Linked DNA regions of Kluyveromyces lactis. The protein of the gene in region 1 interacts with the protein of each later gene in a biochemical or structural test. Links are inferred from orthologs where the notes say so. Each region holds a gene or a part of one and is shown on either strand. Other genes may lie near its edges.

The links. The genes of interacting proteins can lie anywhere in the genome.
Region 2: of the proteins of UBR1 (region 1) and CHK1, one has a biochemical effect on the other in vitro, tested with the Saccharomyces cerevisiae proteins (3 studies listed by BioGRID). The link is inferred for Kluyveromyces lactis from reciprocal best matches to the Saccharomyces cerevisiae genes UBR1 and CHK1.
Region 3: of the proteins of UBR1 (region 1) and MGT1, one has a biochemical effect on the other in vitro, tested with the Saccharomyces cerevisiae proteins (3 studies listed by BioGRID, with this or other methods). The link is inferred for Kluyveromyces lactis from reciprocal best matches to the Saccharomyces cerevisiae genes UBR1 and MGT1.

Annotation. Positions count from the first base shown.
Region 1 is NC_006042.1:1,413,448-1,417,545, forward strand, and holds the start of UBR1 (E3 ubiquitin-protein ligase UBR1), read right to left. Parts: upstream 2,847-4,098; coding exon 1-2,846. Other genes in the region: putative ubiquitin-protein ligase UBR2, read left to right, coding at 3,768-4,098. UniProt on the Saccharomyces cerevisiae protein: Ubiquitin ligase protein which is a component of the N-end rule pathway. Recognizes and binds to proteins bearing specific N-terminal residues that are destabilizing according to the N-end rule, leading to their ubiquitination and subsequent degradation.
Region 2 is NC_006042.1:119,492-123,164, reverse strand, and holds CHK1 (serine/threonine protein kinase CHK1), read left to right. Parts: upstream 1-1,604; coding exon 1,605-3,164; downstream 3,165-3,673. Other genes in the region: KLLA0_F01298g (UBX domain-containing protein), read right to left, coding at 1-1,177; DNA-binding protein RIF1, read right to left, coding at 3,220-3,673. UniProt on the Saccharomyces cerevisiae protein: Serine/threonine-protein kinase which is required for checkpoint-mediated cell cycle arrest and activation of DNA repair in response to the presence of DNA damage or unreplicated DNA.
Region 3 is NC_006041.1:168,119-170,843, reverse strand, and holds MGT1 (methylated-DNA--protein-cysteine methyltransferase), read right to left. Parts: upstream 1,080-2,725; coding exon 510-1,079; downstream 1-509. Other genes in the region: PET494 (Pet494p), read left to right, coding at 1,848-2,725. UniProt on the Saccharomyces cerevisiae protein: Involved in the cellular defense against the biological effects of O6-methylguanine (O6-MeG) and O4-methylthymine (O4-MeT) in DNA. Repairs the methylated nucleobase in DNA by stoichiometrically transferring the methyl group to a cysteine residue in the enzyme.

The DNA.
Region 1 (4,098 bases):
TCCTTCTTTAGTTTGAAAACACCATTATCTTCGAGCCCTTTGGGCTCAATGTACGTAGAAACTTCTTCGAGAACTGTATCAAATTGGGAAACACTTTCAGTAAGGTAATCGGGTATATCGTTCAATAAGTCAGTGTATGATAGTGGTTCAGCGTATAGTTTATAAATAATGGCATTCTTAATGTTGTACAATTGTGTTTCTTCCAGGGTATCGAACTTTTTATAAAAGTCTCTTTCCACCAATATCTGATATAGGAATGCAACGAATTGTTGAATAATCGACGATATTTTATCATCGTACACTGTCTCTGTCGAGGGAACACTTCCATCAAACCAGTCAAGTAATTCCCACCTATCTAACATGTTATAGATGACTCTTTGAAAATCGTTTTTTTCAATTAGAAACGCCAATTGATTAAGTTGTATGTCTCTGCTATAGGAGCTCATTTCAGGATTGTTCTTGTAATATGCTGACTGGTGAAGAACTGACATACCATTTCTAACCCAAAATCCTATATCGATTTGCGAACATAAGACGACAGATCTCAAAGCAAAATCCGAAATAACTAGATAGTCTTTGGATTGAGATAAAACTTGAATTGACACCTGTAAGGGAACATGCTGCACAAGGAAAGAAAACAAAGTATGAACGGGATTCATAAATGAAACTCGTTCTTTGCTGATTTGGAATTTTATGATTTCAAAGTCTTTGTATAATTTGTATGACAAGTTTCTATGTCCCAAAAATGAATCCAATAAGTTGATGGCCCCAATAAGCAATCGCTGGTCAATGTGATCCTTTGATTGCTGCAAAACTTTATCAAAAGTCTGAATGATGCTATAGACTGATGTCGTATACTCCAAATATGGAATAAAATGCTGGTCTTCCCTTAAAACATGCTCTCCTTCCTTTCTTTTAATCTTCCATGCGCCGTTGAAGAGTTTACATAGTGTTACAATCATGATAAACTCTCCCGGTTTCAACAATAGATTAGGGTCAGTGATTTTACTGAGTAAAGTTTCTACAGCATACAATCCTTGTTTGAATGATATACTGTAGCTTTTAGAAGGGTTACTTCTCTGAACCCGTTGCCAAACCAACGTGCCCTCATCCATGGTAGAAAAGTCAACAAAAACGTCAATCACTGACCATATGACGTAGTTGAAATGTCCACTGTGAAAAATACTGTAAGCCGTAGTTGGGCAGGTGAATAACTGAACGACACTCTCCCTTAATGATGTAAGTTGAGGTTCACGATCCATGAAGGTCACACTTCGTGTCATGTGTGGGAAAATTTCGACTAGCTGATCAGTAAACATTGGTTTGTGCACAGCACTTGATGCTAGTGTTGGTATAATTAGATCCTGAACTATTTTTCTAAGCTTCTTCCAGTACCTGTTTTCGAGGAACAACACGTATTGCAACCTAGAATTAGTATATTCATGATGATCTTCTGCTATTACTTTATTCAAGATGGGGGAAATAGCAGATATGTCTCCAGGATCTAGGGATTTATGTCTTCCAAGAGGGATCTTGACACCTTCACCCAAAACCGAATGATCCGCATACAAATATGGATCATCACTCAGGTAACTATCTGAAAAGTAATCTCTAACAACTGAGGTCATATCGATAGACTGATAAAAAGGTTCGTACTTGGAACATAGAACTTTGCCTATAGCATTTCTGAAAAGGCTTTGGAAAGTAGAGTTTGGGATATTCAAACAATCATTAATCCACATTATGCTATACTTACAGGCTTCTTGATGTAGATATTCATACCATTGAGTTATTGTGCAGCTCAACCCGTTACTTTGAACGGAAAAGAATCCTCCCATTAAAGATGCGATATCAGCGCTGCATCTCAACAATGATCTCCCCTCAGAATCGATCTTCGCAGTCAATAAATCAATATGTTTGTTATCAGGCCCACCTTGTCTAATGGCAGCAGAAGCCTGCGAATAGTTATGAAATTCATCGTTGTATACCAAAATAGCATAATCTTTAAGTGTACTCAAGGGATCTAACGATGTAGATGGCGTTTGTTGCTGGGACTCCTCTTCGTCCATGTATTGATTTCTATATGCCAATCGCCTCAGCATGTCAGCTTGTTCATTATATTTCCCGTTCTGGATGAAGTATCTAAGTTTCGCAATGAGTGGTTTTTGAATTGTTGTTAATGGCTCAATGTTTTGGTTGAAGACATCGATGAAATGATCAAATAATTCTATTAGGACGCTTTCTAGCATCTTAGAAATCTTGCCATCATGGTCGTCAAACTCGTCTTCCAAACGACCATTATCTTCAGCACCTTTACAGTTCAATTCATGGTTCCATGCCTCCTTGTCACCACAATCACATATACCGTTATTGAATTCTGTGCAGATCGACGTATATACGTGATGACCAACGTGATCCTTTGGATTGAAACAGTTTACACATAGCACACAAGTATCATCAAATGAACACTCCTTACAACGGTAGATCGGTTCGCCTACTCTAAACTTCGCACCACATATTCTGCCAGCGTGGTTGAATTTCGAATGCCCGCCATTCTCATCGATCTTATACCAGGGTTTCGAACTCAGCTTGATTTCCATTGCTTGGTCGACATTCTTGGGGAATTCACGCTCATTTGTAGCAGTAAACATATGCGGAAGAAGCCTACCACTGTCTGAAATCATATAGTAATAATACCCATATATGAAACTCTTGAGCTCTTTATCCATAACTGCTCTCTCTGCAGATCCCTTTATATCTTTGAATTCAGGCCGAGAATGAATGCAGCCTAAGGTTCGTCCAACATGTTGCCGCAAAAACGACTCTGGGTCAGTATCGTTAATCATATTACCTTAGGGATTGTTCTGATATTGCTATGTTGATGATCAGTTGTTTATACGACAAATCAACCTGTATTGAACCTTTGTCAACTGTGCATTGGCAAGGAAAGTCAAAACTCTTTTCTGATATCGTATTCCTTTTTTTTTTATTGAATCTTTCAGAAGATAAAAATGAATCCTCTCAATGTATGTGGAATTTGACCGAAGCAAAGTGTAAGAAGTACCCTAGAAATAATCATTTCGGTTCCATAAACACAATTGAATCATTTAATAAGCAGGTTATGTTTGGTAGCAAGTGGTACACTGACCATCAATACCTTCTTCTTCAAATAGGTTGTCAAAATAATCTAAATAAAGCATTTCTTTCATGTCTTCGATTTGTAATCCAACGTTGTTCTCAGCACACAATTTAGCGAAGTTATATAAATAAAAAAAACTACGATTAAGTTAGGATTCCAGCTGCAGTTCAACGTCTCGATCCAAAGAAGCTCGCCTGTTTCAAAGTCGTCAGCCCTATAAATCCCTGACTTTTGGTTCAAAAGTAAGTCACGTGACTGATATTCGGTCATGTGACCACGGTCAAACATCAAAATATTTACAATAATAGTCCCTCTATACACTCCATAGACACTACCCAACTGATGCTAACTCCATTGTGATTTTACATCAGGTATCCTAAGATATTCTTTTTTGTGCTCTTCGTACTAATGTTTAAAGGTGGCAAATGCCTCGAATACTTGCTGAAACGAAAAACTGAAAGTAAGACAAGCTTAAAAATGTAAATAGTAAATAGATAAATGGATGCACGTTATATCAAGGGGCGCGCTTCTTGTTTTTGCTCTGTTAATAGTGTTCATTTTAGGTTTGAATGACTAGCAAGCCAAGACCAGAAAGAAGCAGGTATTCTTTTTAGCGAGTCCATTTAAGATGGGCGAATCAGTGCGATGTCTGCGTGATTTTTTGGTTCACTTTGCTCATTTCTGCAGGTACAGATACAATGATATGTGTTCGTTTTACCTTTGGAAGGTTCTACTCACCTGTATGAACCATTGTAATGAGGAAATAAACTGGGAAGATCTTACTCATGTTTTTGGGTTAAATCAGTGGGAAATGGGCGATTTTGGGAAGATCAAATTGAGATCTAACTGGCGTGAGTCACTCATACCGAAAAGGAAACATAACGATCATCGAGGTTCGCAGTGTTCGAAACAGTGCCATGGCACTGAGACCGTTTACTACTGCTTTGATTGTACAAAAA
Region 2 (3,673 bases), about 1.3 Mb from region 1:
TGCTGTTGTCGTCTGAGACATGGCCGTAATGTATAGAAGATGGAGAGACAGCTCTTGAGGGTATCGATGCATCAGAGTGTACCAGACGAGGGGAAGATAAGGGAGAAACATATCTAGATGAAGCTTGAGATGTTAATGCTTCAGCAGGTTCAGGAATATTTTGATCAACAACCGTTGATTTACCGTACCACCAGGACGTCACGTTCTGATACATTTTCCCAAGCAAACCTGGTCCTTCTACATCTGCAATCTTACGAGAATATGTATGCTTTTCCAAAGGCTTCAAGATTAATGCAGATCTTGGAGTAAGCTCCAGAGCTTTCAAAGATAGTAATTCTTGTGATTCTGTGAAAGTTTCACGTGGAATACTTCGATGGAACTGGTACGGACCATCCTTATCTGTCCTATTGGCATCCACCCAAGTCCTTACATCGTTTAAAGTTTGAGACGAATCGAAATCGTTTTTCAATGTCTTACCGTCTGTTAATCTTATAAGCAAGGTGCACACTGCTGCGTTTATTATATCTCTGTTTTTAATATTATCGTGAATGGGTACAGCCAATACTTCATTGATGTGTTCCTTAGTATGATTTGGAGATGATGACGATAATCTTCGTTGCTTCATTTCTTCACGGTCCGCTTTCATCAATCTAACAATACGTTCTCTTTCCTGTTGTTCTGTCAACTGGTGCTTCTTGGCCTTTATTTGGTACTCCATCAATTTCGCATTTTGTGACAGACAGCTACCGGACCTGGCGCCGGTATCACCAGCGGCACCAACGGTATTGGATGCATCAACGGCATCCGTTTCAGAGATTCTCCTCTTGCTTTTACCAACTGCCCGGATCAACCTAGTAGCAAATCCGTCCATGTCCAACTGATCTGGATTTATCATCTCCACTATTTGTCCCTTAGCAATACAATAAACGCTAGGAACCTTCACATCCGGGAATATTTGCTCAAAGTAACCCATTTCCCTGCTTCCAGCAGCTAAACGTAACCAAACGCACGAATCCTTCAACTGCTCCCCTACAAGTGGTGTAAACCACGACTCAAACCACGAATTATCTCCGCCCGTAGTATAAACCAATAACGCCTTGTTCTCTCGCAATGATTCTTGTACCGCATTTTCCACAGAGGAAACAAAATGCGTATCCAGTGTATCCATCGTATTCATATTTGCCTAATCTTACACTTACCACTCCTAAAAAGCTCACCACTGCTTCGTTGCTTCTATCAACAGTATCGGATTTGTTTATTGTTCACTGATTAAACTATAAACGTAGTAAAACCCCTTTCAATGTACGTTTTTATAAATGCAAAGAAATGACAGAAACTAATGACTATCGCAGATCTGATCAGAAAAGAAAAACAATAGTTTTATGATGATACTTATGGGGAAAACGGGATTTATATACGAGTCTCCGACGTGTTATCCTAGGTAAATCACTTGGGGTTCAGTTAGGACGGTTGGATGATATTTTGAGCACATCAGTTGCGTAAATATTGAATGTGCGTTTGGCTGATATAGCTGGAGATTTCTGAGATACGAACCGACAAGAACAAAAAAGAAGTAAAAGAAGAACACTTCGATTGATGTATTGATGAGCTTTTCACAGATAGCTCAGCTCCCTCATATTGATGGATTACAACTAGGAAGAACAATTGGGAAGGGCTCCTTTGCCTTTGTGAAGAGAGCTAGTTTAGAAGTTGATCCGTCCACTGTAATTGCTGTCAAATTCATACATCTTCCTTCATGTGAGAAACAAGGTATGAGTCAGGAAGATGTGTTGAGGGAAGTTAAGTTACATTCTAGATGCTCTAATTTTGTTAATGTGCTAAAGGTTATAGATTGCAATCTTTCTGATCCGTTTCTTTGGATAGCCATGGAACTGGCTGAAGGTGGTGATCTTTTCGATAAAATCGAACCTGACATTGGAGTCGACTCGGAAGTCGCCCAATTCTATTATAAACAACTTATAAAAGCTATAAGTTATCTGCATGATACCTGTGGTGTTGCCCATAGGGATATCAAGCCGGAAAATATCCTATTGGATAAAGATGGGAATTTAAAACTTGCAGATTTTGGGCTAGCATCGCTGTTCAAGAGAAAAGATGGATCAAAACGTATTTCTAGAGATCAACGAGGAAGTCTTCCCTACATGGCACCGGAAATAATATACTGTGATGGGTACTATGCTGATATGACAGATATTTGGTCCATTGGTGTTCTATTATTCGTTTTGTTGACTGGAGAAACGCCTTGGGAACTTCCTCACGAGGACGATGAAACGTTTAGAAACTTTATTAAAGGCGAAGGAAAGCTAGATCAGGGATCTTGGCTGAAGATAGATTTCGTTGAATTGAATCTCTTGAGAAAAATATTACAACCAGATCCAGAGAAAAGAGCTTCTTTGGATACTTTACGGAAACATACATGGTATCAAACAAATCCGAAATTTGCAGATGAAAATGGCCTTTGTAAAAATCCTTCTTTGCTTGCAGAAAAATTACTATCAAAGCTTAAAGTTTCTCTATCAGATGCCGATTATTTATCTTCTACGCAGGAAGTGTTTGCCAATCAACATGCAAAGATGTCGTTCACCCAACCTCTCAATCGTGAGCTTGCACATATAGATAGTTTACCGGCTAATTTGCGAAACGGCTACTCTGCCACTCAAAAGGTTACATGCAGCACGAATTTTTCAAGTGAAAGGGAATTAATGACGCAGGAGCCATTTTCAACCAAGAGAATCCAAGAAGATCTCGCTTCCTTGCAGTTTAATATTAATGATATGAAGCTAATGCCTAACTTTTCATCTGACAGGCTAACTAAATTTTTCTCTACTGATGATATTAGTGTAATCCTCTCAGACCTAGAGAATGCTTTGGTTGCATATGGTGTTAGAGTGAGTAGAAATCTTCACGATAATTTCTTGGAACTGAAACGGCAGATCGGAGAGAGTAACCCCTATCCTGTGTCTATACAGCTCAAAACATATGATAGAAATAAGCTCCCACTTTCAGGATCTCTAGTCATCATGCAGTTGGAAGGTGATCTGAAATCCGTTACTTTTGAAAGGAAACGGGGTGACCCGTTAGAATGGAGACGCTTTTTCAAAAGAATAACTGTATTCTGTAGAGATATTGTTTACGTAAATTGATCATTCCGAGAAATATTTTTGTTATGGATAGGAAAAATCTGACTGCAACATGTCCTTAATCTTCTAAGTTTAACATAAAATTATACATTACCTTTCTCAAAAGCTTCTTATCGTTGTTGCTTAAAGACTTCACATCATCAATATCGACATCATTTAAACTTGAAACAATTCGCATAATTTTTTTTGTATGATGCTGTCCTTCACAATTTGCACTTGCAACATCACCAGCTGAGTTCATCAGTTCTAAAGACCGCTTCCCTGATATATAGGTATCGCCTTTCGAAGCAAGATCCTCTTCGAGTTTGATAACATCAGTAAAGAAAGGATTAAAAATTGGTATCTTCAGAGGCAGCCCAGATGGGGAGTTAACGCTTGTCACTGTATCAAGGTTCTTAGATATCTCATCATTATTTGCAACACCTGGCAGACATTCGCTGACTTCAGTGCTGCTATCTTTAATAGAAGGCGTTTGTTTTTCCATTTCCCCTGATGAAACTTGTGACACTGCA
Region 3 (2,725 bases), on another chromosome or scaffold:
GGATGGTTTATTTCGAGACAGAATCGTGTTTGTAGAGAATGTACTGCAAACAAAAACCAGCAGAAGTAAAAGTCAAACCCTTCATGTCGTCGAAGCAAGTTGAAGAATTAAAAGAACAAAAAGAACAAAAAAAACTCACACAGTATAATGTCCCAAGTTGTGAGATCAGCCGTGCAGCACAATTGAATGTCTTTATTGAAAAGATCCCCCTCTCCATCCGATAAGTAGTATGTTAATTATATCTGCTGCACCCCACTATCATACTCCTCGCAGATCGATAATGATTCAACTCTCCAGGATTTCCATATTTTTTCTTGCAGACGCAACCCTCTCGAAAGACAAATAAAGACAAAAGAAATAGAGACAAAAAGACATTTTATTGAAACACACACAGAAGAGAACCGTAACGACTGGGTCAAGTAATCCTTGAACACATTTGGGATTTGTGTGCCGTTTCAAACACGGTTGGTTGCAAATAAGAAAAAAAAAATTCAAAAGCTATCAGTCCACTAAATTGCTTGTTCCTGCCTTAGTAGTGATTCTTTTAGTTCAATTCCCCATCTGAATCCTGTCAGTTTACCCTTAGAACCGATGATTCTATGGCACGGAATCACGACAGCAATGTTGTTTTTCGCTAGAGCAGAACCAATGGCTCTCACAGCTTTTGGATTCCCTAGCAGAACGGCTAATTGCTGATAAGAAATCGTAGCACCGGCCTTGATAGTCTTTGTAGTCTCCCAAACCTTTTTTTGAAATTCTGTTCCAAGGAGATACTCACATTTGATGTTCGTTTGAGAGTCAATACCACCAGCCAGTATCTGTAAAAAATCAAAGCTCAACTGTTCTAACCATGCCACATCGTCTGATTTTAAGATGGATTTATTCTTTAAGGTATAAATAGATCCTTTATTCTTTGACAAGGAGTTCACTTTGGATACAAATTTCTTAGCATCGCCTAATAGTTTTGGTTTCGTTCCTGACAGCGAAACGAATACAAGACTTTTGGTCGAAGGTTTGACCACGATCAGCACATTTGCTAGATCGTGCTCCATGAAATCGTACACTAATAAATGGGACATAATGTGCTTTGTGAAGTGCACCAAGCTTGCTTTCTTTACTCTTGTCCTGCCCTTTTACTGACGTGTTGCAGCCATTCTTTTTTTTTTTGGGATATTGGAGTTATATATACCTGGATGTACAGCATCGGAGGTTGACCGTTCGAGAAAAAGGAGTTCTTCCTCCTTAAGGTTGCATACACCACACATTCCTTCGCCCCTATCTGCGAACCACACTGTTTCCTATTGTAAGCATTAGCACGCCTGCCAGTCTTGCTGTAGTTTCAAGATGTAGATATGATGTGAGAAATGATATACATCACGTGATACTCTCTCGTTTTTAAATAAGTTATAGAGATCCGAACTACTGTAGCATATTCATATCGATGTGACTCCCGGTGAAGCACCTACTACAATAAGATGAGATTATTAGATTACGTTTTATTCACGGGTGCAGCCATTCAACCCAACAATCTTTTCATTTCGTCAAATCATGTGTCAAATTTGTAGCGCATCGCAGATTCCATCCATATATCTCCATACTATTTACCACCAAGGAGAAAGAATTTCAGCGAAATTAAAAATTGAATACTAAGTTAAAATCAAACGATATATGGAAATGAGCTGACCCTGCGAATTCATGAAAGAAGCCGGTAACAAGACACACAAGAGAATTAATAATTTGAAAAGGGTTGATCAGGGAGAATACATACGACACAGATTAGTTTTCCCTCATTGTTTCTGTTTCGAAGTTGATGGGTCAAGCTTAGAGTGGTGTTTTTCCAATTTAAAATGCATCTTCGTTGCTGTTTTCGTTCAATGGCACGAAGGTTTCATACTAGTCGGAGGATAACGCTACAATGGAAGAACAAGATGTTTCAAAGTACCCCACGTCTACAAAAGGGTCAACAGAGGTATTCAGAGACGCTTTGGAAATATTTCAATGCACCAGGTAATGCGTTTTTTGTTACGACTAATGTAGTTACGTTAACAGGGATGGTGATATATTCTACCGTATCAACGATGTCAAGACAAGCAACTATAATAGATTCGTTGGAAAACGGATTTGGGGTGGAGAATAGCCTTGATGCAGTTTACGATGATAAGCAAAATTTTGCGGTACCGAAGAGACCCCGCTCTGAGGTCTCCTGGAGAGAGAGCAGTCAACTAAAGAAGCAAGCTATGGAACAACGAAGGTCAGAAGTGATAGGAGAAAGTAATAATGCTGCCGCCGACATTGAGACTATTTCAGATCCATTTTTGGATTCTAATCCCGAGGGGAAAGGTCTACAATCAGCCAACTCATACATGGTAAAGATGGGTATATTTTATTTATTTTACTCGTTCCATATCTATAAGAAATCGTTGGAAACGGGAGTTGAGGTTAATGACAAGATGTTGCAAAAGCTTTTAGACAACGTACCGCAGAACGAACACGATCTCCATGATATACAGAATGCGGCGTTTTATAAGAGTTGGCGTCACGAGTTTGGAGCATTATTGAAGAATTTGAGTAAGGCACAACATTTTAGTGTGCCGAAGCCTGAAAGTTTCCCGGAAGAATTGCAAGACGTCTTCAAGAGGTTAAGCGATAGCAAGATGGCATTCCAATCTGACTTCTATGAATTTTACCAGTCGATCAATGACATTTCACAAAGACGGTTATTACA